Coturnix japonica: one gene and its partners. The protein of the gene in region 2 purifies or fractionates together with the protein of the main gene of each other region. This does not show direct contact. Links are inferred from orthologs where the notes say so. Each region holds a gene or a part of one and is shown on either strand. Other genes may lie near its edges.

Region 1 (4,834 bases), on a different chromosome or scaffold from region 2:
ATTCTGTGATTCTGTGAAAGGTGGGCGTCAGGCTCTGTTTAGTGGTGCCCAGTGACAAGAAAAGGGCACAGGACACAAACCAGAACCCAGGGAGTTCAGTCTGAATGTGGCAGAGCTTTGGCACAAGCTGCCCAGAGAGGTGGGGGAGTCTCTTGAGACCCACCTGGACACTAGGTATAGTGTGGCCTGCTATAGGGAACCAACCTTGGGAAGAGCTTTAGAAGTCCCCTTCAACCCTTAAGGTTCTGTGCTTCTTCCAGAGAGCACAATAAGCTCTTGGCTATTCAGTCATGTTACTGGAGAGGGCTGTGAGGTGCTAAGCAATCCTCACAAACATGGGGGATGCACCAGGGCAACCTCAGAACCAAACAGAAATCCAGCCTGGTACTGACAGCTTATAACCAACAGGAGCTTGGAAGGACAGAAGCAGAGCATCCATGGCTCCCAAAGAAAGAATAAAGACTTCTGATGAACCTTGGAATAAGGGAAGGGCTAATGAAAGAGAGTAAATGAGAAGGAAGGGGCAGCGTCAAAGGAATGTGCTTGAAAAGGGACTTTGGCAGCTCCCTGAGTGGAGGAGTGGAGCAGAACCACCTGTGCCAGGAGGAGAAAGAAAACTGCTGTGACCACAGCGAATGTAGGGCTCCAGAGACGAGCTCTGAAGAAGATAAACACAGTGCTTTGCCTTGTGTGAATTTATAGCACTGACAGCCCAGGCAAAGCTATTCCTTGGGTACAAACAGGTTCTTACATCACTTTTTAATCACTAAGTGCACTAACAAGAAATAAATGTTTCACTAAGTTCAATGTGATTTTTCTCCCATCAGATCAACGTTAAGACAAACTCCAGCAACCAGTGGCAGAGATCTGAGCTTATGGCACATGGAATCACCTCCTGGTTGGGTCAGAAGGGACCTCACAGCCCCCCATAAGCTGGGTTGGGTCAGAAGGGACCTCACAGCCCCCCATAAGCTGGGTTGGGTCAGAAGGGACCTCACAGCCCCCCATAAGCTGGGTTGGGTCAGAAAGGACCTCACAGCCGCCCATAAGCTGGGTACCCCACCAGCTCAAGCTGCCCAGGGCTCCATCCATGGCCTGGGGCACCCACATTTCTCAGGGCAACAGTGCCAGCATTGAGATGCCTCTGGCTAAACAATTTCCTCCTATCATTTAACCTAAGTCTCCCCTCTTGTAATTTAAAGCCATTCCTTCTTATCCTATCACACACATCAGTTGCTTTACCCACTGTTTATGTGCTCCCTTTAGATACTTGAAGGCCACAACGAGCTTTCTCTTCTCCAGGCTGAACACCCCAAGCTCTCAGCCTCTCTCCATAGATGTGCTCCATCCTCTGGAGCATCCTTGTGGCTTCTGGACCCCATTCACTATTCAGCTGTACCTTTTAGGGTTGACAGATTGCTTGACACATTACCAGGCATCACCAAAACAACCCCCAGAGCACACACAGCACCTCTTCACCCTCCACTCATTAATACCAAAATACACGTGGGGTCACAAAGCTACTGCAGCACGGCTTTACAAAAGGTTCAACACAATACTGTCGTTGTGTAGTGTTGCTCTGCTTTATCTCCACGCTACTACAGAGCTTTCTTTAGCTCCTCCAACACACCAAACCTTCACACATCAGCCAGGCAGCAGCTAGAACTCAACCTTGCTTAGAAAACAGGAACTTTGCCACTCTTGTGCCATTGCTGGCATTCACCAAATCTGAGTTTTGGCACCCAACGTGTTTCCTTCTTATTGATGTCAGGCTGTGTTTCCTGTAGAACAGGATGGTCACAACCCCCCACTCCATAGCACTGAACACTCCAATGTTTCCAAACGATGCTCTACAACAACTCAGGCCAAGCACAAAGCATCATTCCAGAGGCCCAACAGTACCACAGCTCGTCTACAACGACTCCATTTATATATCCCAAAACACACAGAGGCAACGCTAAGCTGAAAGCCAGCCCAGGAGTGAAGCCATACCGAAAGGCCTCTGCGAAATCACACCTCAAAGCACGTCAGATCTGCGAGCTCCATCAAGTTGAGCTGGGCAGCTTTGACACAACACCAGCACCACCATCACAACCCCCCCCCCCCCCATAATACTGTGTTGTAAGCACCGTGCTGAGCCCCACCATCACATAGAGCCCCACCATCACACAGTGCCCCATTGCCAGCCCTGAGCTTTGGCAGCATCCAACCAAAGGAACTCTGCCATGAAACTGCTCCTTTCCAAACACACCGACACGGACCCGTCCCAACACCACAGTGCGGGATCAGCCTTTGGAGCACGGAATAGGAAACCCAATCTCAGTTTCCAAAGCGTTTGAAAGGAACCCCGTCAGGAGTGGGAACTGCTCCCTATCCCCAACACGGAGCTCCATAAGGGCCGCATAACCCCACCAAAGGGAACCAGAAGGACGGGATGGGGGGAAAAGGGGCGGCCCGGTCCGACCGCTGCCCTCACTCACAGCGCCGCAGCCACTTCATCCAGTGGTAGACGATGGTGCTGTGGTGCCGTTTGTTCTCCAAACACCACGACGAAAGGCCTTGGATGGACTCCATAGTGTTGGTCACCGCTTGCAGTTTCCTATCGAGCGAGGCCTCCAACGCTCCGGCCGACGAGGACGCGGCCGACGATGATGAGGCCCTGCCGCCGCCTCCGCCGCCCGCCGCCATCTTCGTGCCCTGCTCTCCCAGGCGGGGCCGCGCGGACGGCGGCGGCGCTCCCGGCCTTCACAGCCCCGCGGGGCCGCGGCCGCCGCCCGCCGTCACGGTCCCGGGGGGGGGGTTGGGAGGAGAAACGGAGGGTGTGGGGGGGTGTGTGGAGAACGAGGCGGCCCCACACCGAGAGGCCGGGCCGCGTTCCGAGGTCGGTTCGGCAGCCGCACGGAGCCGTCTCCGCTTCGTCCCCCCCCCCCCCCAACCAGCAGCACCCCGGGGCGGTGGTGGCTCGGTCACTCGCCGGCCCCCTCCGCGCGCAGCGCCCGCCCCCCCGCCGCCATTTGTGCCAGGCCTTCCCTCACACGGCCTCGGCGGCGGCACCCCCCCCACCACAGCCGCCTCTGCACTGCGCATGCGCCGCCGCCCGCCCTCCTGAGCAATGCGCATGCGCCGCTCCACCCAGCCGTCCTCCCTGCCGTCGCGCATGCGCATTGAGCATCACCCCCCTCCACAAGCATTGCGCTTCGCTCCCGGCCTGCCCCGCGGCCAAGATGGCGGCCGCCTGCGCTGTAGAGAAGCAAGATGAGGCTTGAAGTAACGGGGCCATAATGTCCGACCCGGCCCGCTGAGCTGAGCAGAAAGCTGGGAGAGGCTGAGCTGCCCTTCGCAGGGAGCACTGCAATGAGATCAAGCCTCGCTTAAAGCACCAAACTCCCATTAAACCACCAAACCCCCCCATTGGGTGCTGTTCCAAACGCTGCCATAAACACACACAAACCGAAGGCGGCTTCAGCTTTTACAAAAAGAAACCAACATGTTTATTATGTAAATATAGGATGTGGGCTAAGTCCCCGTCTCCTACTCTGCTTTACAAACACCAAGTGCTCCTCCCCTGTCCCCTGTGCTGCCCCACACAGACCCCCTGTGCCCCCCCACACCTCCCAGCACAGCCCTGAGACCTTCGTACCTGAAGGGACACAAAGAGCATAGAAAACAACTTCTCCCCTTCAGCTCCATAACGATTCTTTCCATAGAAGGTCACATTCCCAGGTCAGATTCCCTACAGTGTGGGCTTGGGGGGGGGCAGCCAACAGGTTCACACCTCCTCCAGGAGCTGAACGTATCCAGAAAAACAAATTGTTAAGTGATTTGCTTTAAAAAATATTTCTTTTAATCATACTTCGCTGTACTGAGACCGGAGGGGGAGGAAGGGGGTCGTTCAAGTTCCCACGAGGTATTCGTTCTCAAACGAAGAAAGGGAGGGGGGGGGGTGCCGGGGGCAGCATCACCCTCAGTCTGTGGATTCCAGCACGGATTCACTCAGAGCCAGGTCCCAGTAGTGCTCTGCTCCGTGCTTTTTAAAGTGCTCCCGTGCCATGTTTTCAGTGGGGCACTGCTTAAATTTCATTTCGCCAAAGCTTCGATCCTTTGCCGTGCCCTGGAAGAGAAAAGGGGACTCATTTCCACAAGTCTATGGGGAGAAAGTAACTGAAATAAAACTGAGAATAAATGTTTTTTACAGGTCAACAAGCAATTAACCCAACTGCTGCAAGAGGTTTGGAGTATCTACCCCACACTGTGTAATTCTGCTATAGCTTAAGAACTGTACAGTTCAATTCAGATCAGTAGACTTCCCTTCCATACAAAGCAGCCATTCTATCAGGCAGGGTTAACCTGTGCCTTTCCTAAGCCCCCAGAACTCCCAGCAAACCAGAACTCTGCCCACTCACCTCCCAAACCAGAGAGCATTTGTTTGTTTTCTTAACAGACTCCTCATCAGACTCGTCATCATCTGGAATAGAAACAGCAACAACAAATTCTAGTCCTGCAGAACCACCACTGCTCAACCAACCCAATGGCTACAACATCATCTGTTACCACCTCCTTCCCCACAGGGTTTAATGCTTACCTTCTCCCTTGGTGTTTGATGTTTGTTCATCCCATTTTATTCGATGAAGCATAAGACGTTTGAATTTCTTCTGTGCTTTCGGGCCTGGGGAGAGAATTGAGACTTACATTCACAAAGGTCCTTAACCCTCATGTTTTTAGGAGACTTTAAAAGGCAGAAGAACAACAAACACACAAGTAAGCCTTTCAGAGCATGCTCAGCTGATCAGACACAAGTACAGCACAGCCAGGCCCTTCCAGCCAAAGTGTGAGT
Region 2 (3,697 bases):
GTTTGCCCAAAGAGACTATTGAATAGCAGTTAATTGGAGTGAAGAACCCATAAGCTCCCCCCCAAAACCTCTAAGAGAATTAATACACAATAAGATGTGAAGATCCTCCTCCTCTACAGAGGAAAGGCTTTGATTAGACAGCATCAAAACCCTGCAGGAACAGCAGCAGCTCTCAATGCTTCATACAGGAAAGTCAGTTTCCAAGCTCCTGTTTGGGTTTGGTTTCTGTTTGTTTGTATCCAAACCTAATTATTAATTCATCCTCCATATAACCTGAATTAATTTATAAGCTTGGAAGCCGGAAGTCTTCAGTGCCTTGTGCTTCTCTTATCAGAGGTTAGTTCTGAGGAATGCTGCAATAAAAGTAGAATGCAATGACCTAAGAACGCTGCGCATCCATTCAGTGTAAGTACTGCCACAACATGCAGATCACAGCTCGACTTTGTCCAAGTAATGGTCACATCTTCAAACTCTGCCATAAGGACCGATCAGCAGTTCCTGTCCTTTAAATGCAGAGGGTAAAAACACCCAAACAAAACCCACAGTGAGTCCAAGCAGCACCTGCACTGCAAATGAAGCAAGTAAAACCAGCGCTATTCAACGACACCCTCTTTATTCAAAAATATAGATCTATGAGACATTTCAGAATATACTGCTGTCACAAATGGCAGCCAATATGCCTACATTAATTCCTAAAACCATTAATATACAGATTTTAGCATTAAAAAAAAAGAGAGAGAGACAAACCTTGGGAAAATCTGTTTGACCTTCAGAGAACGTTACTCAGTTCACCAGATGTCCTTTGCCCATTAAAAGGAAAGTAAAACCTACGAGACTTCATTTAAATTAAGCAAAAGAAAACACACTCACACTTAGGGGAAAAAAAAACCAACCAACAAGTCCAAACATTTCTAGAATAAGAAAAGACAGACAGCCCGCTTCCTCACATGACGTCTGCCCAGAACAACAGCGTGAGATGGCAACACGTTTTGTCTTACAGTGGATATGGGTTCAATCCACAGTCAAAGCAATCACTGCTTAAAGCAACCTCAAGGTAACTCCGGGAGCTGTGGCAGGACAGAAATTCATCTTCTTGTTTGGGATTTTGGAGCTTTGGTGGCTTTGTTTGGTTTCCCTTGATTATTATCTTTGTTTTCCTATTTTATTCCCTTTTTAATGTTTGGCAAAAGCAGACTGTGTTGGGTGCCTGATGTAAGCAACATTTGGTCCACAAATGGTTGCAAGATCAAACCAATTCATGGAAAATATAATTCACTGCCATCGTAAAGTTTCCTGCCAATGAAAAAGAAAGGCATTGCCTGGCTGGGCAACAGGGGTGGAAGAAGTTTCCTTTTCACAGGAAAAAAAATAAACAAAAGTGAAACATCGGTAAGAAAAGCACAGGAGCTTTTCAACAACCAAACCACCAAACACATGGTGTTATTTAACTGAATGTCAATTGGCTACTTAATACTCCATAAAATAAATTAATGCAGACCAAGATTTGCATTTCTATAGGTATCTTCTCACGTCTTTGAGAACTGCAGCTTAAGACCAGAGCGAGGCACAAACACAGCACACCAACGTAACTCATTTCAGCCTCTCTGTGATAGAGCCTGTGCTGTCAGACCAAGTGTTTCCAGAAACTTCAGGTGTTCCACAGCAGGAGATATTAGATTTAAACAGATTATTTTCCCAGACAGGAATGGTTTTCAGTGATGAGAGTCCAGCTTGATAGACCTACCACACAAACTGAAATCTAATGACATCCATGGCAGCTAGAACATTAGCAAATTAAAGAGTACTCTAATTTTTCCCCCCCAATAATAAAATCAACTCACAATCTGTGATACAAAATTAAGTACATCCTTCTAATACATGCATAGATATAGCACATGTGCATGCTGGATGTGTATATGGGTCTACTTTCTAGATTAAGAAAAAAACGGGGGGGTTTATATCACATTTAACTTCTGTTCATCAATTAACTTGACTAAAGCTACAGGGAGAATTTATAGAATGCTTTCAGCATGACCACCTTCAGAGCAGATCTGCCACTGGGTGACGGCCAGTTACAATCCACCACACTCCAGCCTCTCAGTTAAACCAAAGCTTCTGTGATCGTTTATTTTGTATAATGAAGAGGAAAAATATAGTATAAATCTAAGGTAGCTAGAACAAAATTTACTTCCACTCTCGTTTAGGTAATATCCAGTTCTGCATGGCTCAGCAGAGCTTAAATTATGAAGCTCTCTAATTCACAAAGAAAAGCTGTTTATTTTTATTGCCTGTGGTGAGTTTCAATTTATGTTCATGCCAAATAGGAACTATTTTTTATGTGAGGCCTACAACAGCATGAGGAACTGTAGATTTAAAATATTTGTGCCATTGTTCAGTAGGTGCCTTTGTCCTTCACTGACATGATATAATACCTGCAGACACACATGCACGCACCCCTACGAAGCCCACTAGCCACTACTGCTTTCAGATACGAGCTTCAGAGACCCAGCAAAAACAGGCAAGACAATCTGAAATAATACAATAGTTTTACAGAGGAAAATGTTATACGGTCAGCCTTTCTTTGAACACTTTCCATATATGTACACGATTCTCATGACTTTCGTGGGGTAACAAGTGCTAAGAGCAAACAAACTAAAGAGTAAGGAAAAATTATGAGAGAAAATTGCTTATACGGACTATCCCCACTCCCTTAAGAGCTCACAAAAACTCGCTCTTTATCCTGCCCTCGTTGTGAGCCAGTGTACACAGAGAGAAGGTGAGCATGAGCAGCCAAGAGGTTGAAAGCAGGGTCTGAAAGTTCTTTCCTACTGTACATCTGGGAAGACTGGATTTCCAGTCAACAGTCTTCTTACTTTTGCTGGTAATAATGGAAACTAGGGGACACCATTTGTTCTAGTCTGTTGAAAACAGGTCACCAGCAGACGGCAGAGGTGCCAGACCTCCTGTGACGTTGGGCAGCAGTGACAGATCCGGAAGGCTCTGGATGTGAGATTTCAGCTCCTTGCGGACCTGGGTTACCCGAGCAAGCTTCTGTTTATATTCCTGCAGGAAAGAGACGAGAGACCAAGCATCAAACACAGGTTAACTTACAGTGCTTTTAGTTAAGCCAGGATTGTTTGTTTAAGTGAGGATTCTAGGAAAAAGTGGCAAGGTTTTGGTTGTTCTCTGTGCAGCTACTGCACGACTGTAGAGCTGCCATCTGCACCCAGACTCACAGCCTGCCCCAGCAAGAAGTCCACAAGCTTCAGCATCTCAGAGCCACTGATCCTGCCATGATACCTCAACAAAAGTTACATGAACGACCCCACAGACACTGAGACCTGGTGGAATATTTGACAGAACTGTCATTATATAGTTGCTCTATTCCTATATTCTTCTCCAGACAACTGGCTTTTGTGCAGATCCAAAGGAGGAAACTGACACAGCGTTATTCAGACACATCCCACTGACAAAGGCAGCAGTCTGAGGAACACCCCAGGTATTACTAATCTGCTGAAATGTGCTTCCTCCCACCCCAGCTTGATAAGCTTGGAGTGTTTGGTTGTGAAACAGAGGCTTCTTGTCATGAGATAGACGATACACATTAGCAACCCCAGCAGCTGTTACATTAGACTGGCATGTGAGCTCAGAACACAAGTGATCACTAAATATAAATCAGACAAAGGTTTGGCCGCAC
Region 3 (4,436 bases), on a different chromosome or scaffold from region 2:
AGTGGAGGTAACAGCAGCAGCTGCTCCTTGGTAGAACTGCATGTGGGGAAGGGGAAGCTTCTGGCCTGTGTTCCTGCTTCTCTTTTGCTCATTCTTTTCCTGAGCACACTCCTGCTGTGGGTCAGTAGTGTGCCCTAACAACTACACATTCACAAAGGCTGTGAGGCACGTGTGGTCTTAGCTCTAACTGTATCTGGTAGGGATGTGACCTCTTTGGACCCCACCCAGCTCCAGTTGTCAAACCAGGCTTTGCAATAATTGATATTGCCCAAGTTTCATGGACAATGATACCATTCCTTTCCTACACAAACTCTGTTCTCCCTGTAGATTCTCAAATGGCCGGAGCTTCAAGCAAATGGGGAACACCTGAGCGAAGTCTACATAAACAACGTGATAACAGACCCTACTTTCACTTACCTTGTTGCTCTCACTAGTGTGAACATTACAGCCATTTGGAAGAAGTCATAGTTCCTTGTTATAGAAGTTCATTCCCCGTGTTTTGAAATAGTGCAGTATTAGTGACTGTTACCCATATAACCATAAAGTTTTCTAGACCAGCTGTTACGTGCAAAAGGTAAAAGAGTTCGTTAAGCACATCCAGTCATCCAGGCTTTTTTCCTGTAAGTTTACACAATTTGTGCATTTGTTTTATAGAAATGACACTTAATAAAACAAAACAACAACTCTGCTGGCAGAATCTGAACTTCTTGGAATGGGAAACCAGGGCTGTGACCCGTTATTGCCACTCAGCATCTCCTCATTGCCATAAGGGCAGTGAGACTGAGCTACAGCATAGTGCACATAGTGACAGTGAGGCTCCAGTTAGAAAAGTGAAAACCATTTTAGTGAATTAAGCCATGAAATCAAACAAGACATGTCAGATACAAACATCCCCTCCCAATACTGCTGCCAAAGTCAGTAGGACTGGAAGGAAAGTAATTGGCATTGAATGAAGGTTTAAATAAAGCATTTCACTCAGACACATCGTTCTTCATCAGCAGTGTATCACACTAAGAGCAGGCTGATTTCACTCGATTCCTTCTTGTTTGTCTTTAATGGCAACCTGTAAAGAACAGAAACAGAACCGTCAGTGGATGGTTTAAACACTGATTTCATCAATTTCACATCAAACAACAACTGCATGAGTTCAGGGGAGACCTTATTGCTCTATAACTTCCTGAAGGGAGGTTGTAGTGAGCTGGGGGTTGGCCTCTTCTCTTGTGTTATCAGTGATAGAACTAGAGGGAATGGTTTTAAGCTGCGCCAGGGGAGATTCAGGCTGAACATTAGGAAGTTTTACTTTGCGGAAAGGGTAGTCAGGCATTGGAATGCACTGCCCAGAGAGGTGGTGGAGTCACCGACCATGGGAGTGTTCAAGAAAACGTCTGGATGTTGTGTTGTTGAGTATGATCTAGCCGGGAAGTATTGGGAATGGTTGGACTAGATGATCACAGAATGACCCGGGTTGGAAGGAACCTCAAGGATCATGTAGTTTCAACCCCCCTGCCTGGCAGGGCCACCAAACATACACATTTACTAGATCAGGTTGCCCAGGAGACCCCATAGATTCCCCATAGAGACCCCATAGATCAGGTTGCCCACGGCCCCGTCCAACCTGGCCTTGAACACCTCCAAGGACGGGGCATCCACAACCTCCCTGGGCAGCCTGTTCCAGGGCCTGACCACTCTCCTAGTGAAGAACTTCCCCCTGACATCCAACCTAAATCTTCCCTCTTTTAACTTCAAACCATTTCCCCGTGTCCTGCTATTGTCAGCCCTTTCCAAGAGTTTACTCCCCTCCTGGTTATAGGTTCCCTTCAGGTTCTGAAAGGCTGCAATGAGGTCACCCCGCAACCTTCTCTTCTCCAGGCTGCACAAACCCAACTCCCTCAGCCTGTCCTCATAGGGGAGGTGCTCCAGCCCCCTGATCATCTTCGAGATGGCAGCAGCTCTGGGCTGAGCCCTTCCCTTAGGTTCAAAGGATGGGCTTCTCGCAGTGCTCAGAACTGAGCTCACCCTGAATCTCTCCTCCAGCAGGGACAGCTCGCTGATCAGGTCGGTGATGGCGTTGGTGAAGGCCTCCTGGGGGCTGTAATCCGGGGTCGTTTGGACGCGGATGATGATTTTATGTTCCAGGGGGTGCGGGACCTTGTAACCTGCAAACAGCACCTGGGGGTCCTTCAGCAGCTGCCTGGGGGAGGAGGCAAAGCAGCAGCAAACAAACATACATTAATAGATGTAAGAGCTTTATAAGAGCCCCAGCACTTGTAAGCAGCGCCCAGCTCCCTCAGCTCACGACTTGATGATGTTTCCCAGCGTGTGATCCTCCTTGTTGATGGTGAACAAACAGGCGTTGGGCACCTTGGTGTCCTTGTTGATGGTGATCCTACACAGCACAGGGGGCGGCGATTCACTGCCACAGCCCGGGCGGACATGGGGGGAACCGGGGGGGCACGGGACGGTCCGGGCAGCCCCCAACCCCCCACCGGACCCCCCCCATCCTCCATCCCGCCCCCTACTCACTTTTTCTCCCCTTCGAACAGCAGGAACGACTCAAATGCTGGCGGCGCGTTCATCCCGCCGGCTCCGCACCGCTCCCCGCAGCGCACACAGCGTCACTTCCGCCCACAGCGCCCCCTGCCGTGCGGGCGGACCGTGCGCAGTGCGCTATAAAGGCACGGACACGGAGCGGGTGGAGCTGCGCATTTATTGCCACGCTGCGACCCCCCCCCCCCCCCCCCCCCCAGCCCCATCCCGGCACATCCCGGTCCGTCCGTCACGTCTGCGGCTCCGGCAGCTCCTGCAGGGGGGGCTGGGCCGGGGGCAGCCGGCGGTGACAGCGCTCCAGGTCCTGCAGCGCATCCAGGAGCCGGCGGAGCGCGGGGGTCAGCGGTGGGGCTGGGGGGGGGGGAGAGCGGGGCGGTGAGACCCCCCGGGAATGGGAGCAGCCCCAGAGCACAGCGCCTATGGGGGGGATGGGGAGCTGGGGGTCCTTTCTCTACCTTCTCCGTTCTGAGGGTCCCCCGGCTCCATGAGCTGCCGGCACTTCTCCCTGCGGATAAAGGGGCTGTTGGCCGCGGGGCAGGGGGCGCTTTGGGGGCTGCCCCCGGTTGTGGGTCCCACCTGAGGGGCTGCTGCAGCCCGTGCAGGTGCTGGAAGAGCCGCTGCGCCTCCACGTCGGGCTGCAGCGGGTCGGTCCAGTCCTGCAGGGTGATGCTGTGCCGGGTCCGGCCGCAGCCCGGTCCTATGGGACAGAACAGGGGCTGAAAATAGCGGGGACATCACCACCCCCACCCCCCACCCAGCAGCCCGTACCCGTCCTGTCCTTCTGGTGGCAGCAGCTCCATTTATCCCCCCTGAAGACCCCGGGGTGGTAGGAGCGCAGCAGCTGCGGGTTGTTGCCGCACACCTTCCTCAGCGCAGACAGCCACTGGTTCAGCTCATTGACACACTGCGGGTTAAACAGCGAGGTCACACAGTACCCCAATGGGAAACAGCCCCGTCCCCATCCCAGCCCACCTTGCACTGCAGATACGCCGTCTCCTGCTGCCCGGCCTCATCCACATAGACCACCTGCATGACGTGGCAGCTCCCAAAGCTTTTCTCCTCCACCTTCTCGGCCGCTCGGATGTTGGCCAAAGCGATGGAGCCGCATCTCTGCCATTGGGGACACAGCGCTCGGTGCCCTCCGTGCCACCATGGGATCCCACCACCCCACGTCCCCCTACCTCTGCCCCGGGGCTCTTGCTGAAGCTGAGTGCCTCGCTGGTGAGGCAGAAGTGCAGCTTCTTGGATGCAGAAGCAAGCAGCGGCCCTTTGCCCCGTGTCTTATGGACAAACAGCAGCCCCTCCTTCACCACGTTGCTGCGGGGGGCACAGGGCTGCTCCTCTCCACCCTCCTCCTCCTCCGTGCCCACCAGGCGGGTGATGAAGGCCCTCATCTGGGAGGCTCCGTGCTGCAGGGCGGGCTGCAGCGGGGCCAGCCATTCCTCCTTGGCTCTCCCTGCCGCTGGCTCCATGTTGCCCACCATCTGCACGGCCTGCAGACCACGGCATGGTGGAGTCGTTGCCCCCAGTGCCACCCCGCTGTGCCCATGTCCCAGCTCACCTTGGCCAGCAGCAGCAGCGTGCGGCTGGTACGTGCATCAGCGTGTGTCTCCCTCAGGTGGAAGAGTTTGGGGGTCATGATGGCGGGGGAGAAGAAGCGCAGGCACAAGAAGCTGGTGACAGCCACGAACTGAGTGTGCTGCAGCCACCGGGGGCAAGAGATGTGTGAGGGTCCATCCCCATGGCACCATCCCTCATGATGCTTCAGGGTTGGATGATCCTCACAGCCCACAGAATCACAGAATGACCCAGGTTGGAAGGGACCTCAAGGATCATGTAGTTCCAACCCCCTGCCTGGCAGGGCCACCAAACATACACCTTTACTAGAT

What was found.
Region 1: the proteins of RPRD1B (region 2) and RPRD2 purify together in Homo sapiens (affinity purification with mass spectrometry; 4 studies listed by BioGRID and IntAct, counting the BioPlex papers as one, with this or other methods). This does not show direct contact. The link is inferred for Coturnix japonica from reciprocal best matches to the Homo sapiens genes RPRD1B and RPRD2.
Region 3: the proteins of RPRD1B (region 2) and DNA-directed RNA polymerase II subunit RPB11-a purify together in Homo sapiens (affinity purification with mass spectrometry; 3 studies listed by BioGRID and IntAct, counting the BioPlex papers as one, with this or other methods). This does not show direct contact. The link is inferred for Coturnix japonica from reciprocal best matches to the Homo sapiens genes RPRD1B and POLR2J.

What each region holds. Positions count from the first base shown.
Region 1 is NC_029540.1:1,879,558-1,884,391, forward strand, and holds the start of RPRD2 (regulation of nuclear pre-mRNA domain-containing protein 2), read right to left. Parts: upstream 2,985-4,834; 5' UTR 2,689-2,984; coding exon 2,481-2,688; intron 2,053-2,480; exon of another isoform or gene 205-2,052; intron 1-204. Other genes in the region: PRPF3 (U4/U6 small nuclear ribonucleoprotein Prp3), read right to left, coding at 3,965-4,111, 4,404-4,465, 4,583-4,666.
Region 2 is NC_029535.1:8,680,370-8,684,066, reverse strand, and holds the end of RPRD1B (regulation of nuclear pre-mRNA domain-containing protein 1B), read right to left. Parts: intron 3,064-3,697; coding exon 2,914-3,063; 3' UTR 597-2,913; downstream 1-596. UniProt on the Homo sapiens protein: Interacts with phosphorylated C-terminal heptapeptide repeat domain (CTD) of the largest RNA polymerase II subunit POLR2A, and participates in dephosphorylation of the CTD by RPAP2. Transcriptional regulator which enhances expression of CCND1.
Region 3 is NC_029534.1:3,079,658-3,084,093, forward strand, and holds DNA-directed RNA polymerase II subunit RPB11-a, read right to left. Parts: upstream 2,656-4,436; 5' UTR 2,577-2,655; coding exon 2,524-2,576; intron 2,387-2,523; coding exon 2,297-2,386; intron 2,192-2,296; coding exon 2,017-2,191; intron 1,064-2,016; coding exon 1,028-1,063; 3' UTR 685-1,027; downstream 1-684. Other genes in the region: LRWD1 (leucine-rich repeat and WD repeat-containing protein 1), read left to right, coding at 328-468; ras GTPase-activating protein 4-like, read right to left, coding at 2,777-2,898, 3,003-3,052, 3,124-3,244, 3,316-3,451, 3,520-3,657, 3,729-4,040, 4,109-4,246. UniProt on the Homo sapiens protein: Core component of RNA polymerase II (Pol II), a DNA-dependent RNA polymerase which synthesizes mRNA precursors and many functional non-coding RNAs using the four ribonucleoside triphosphates as substrates.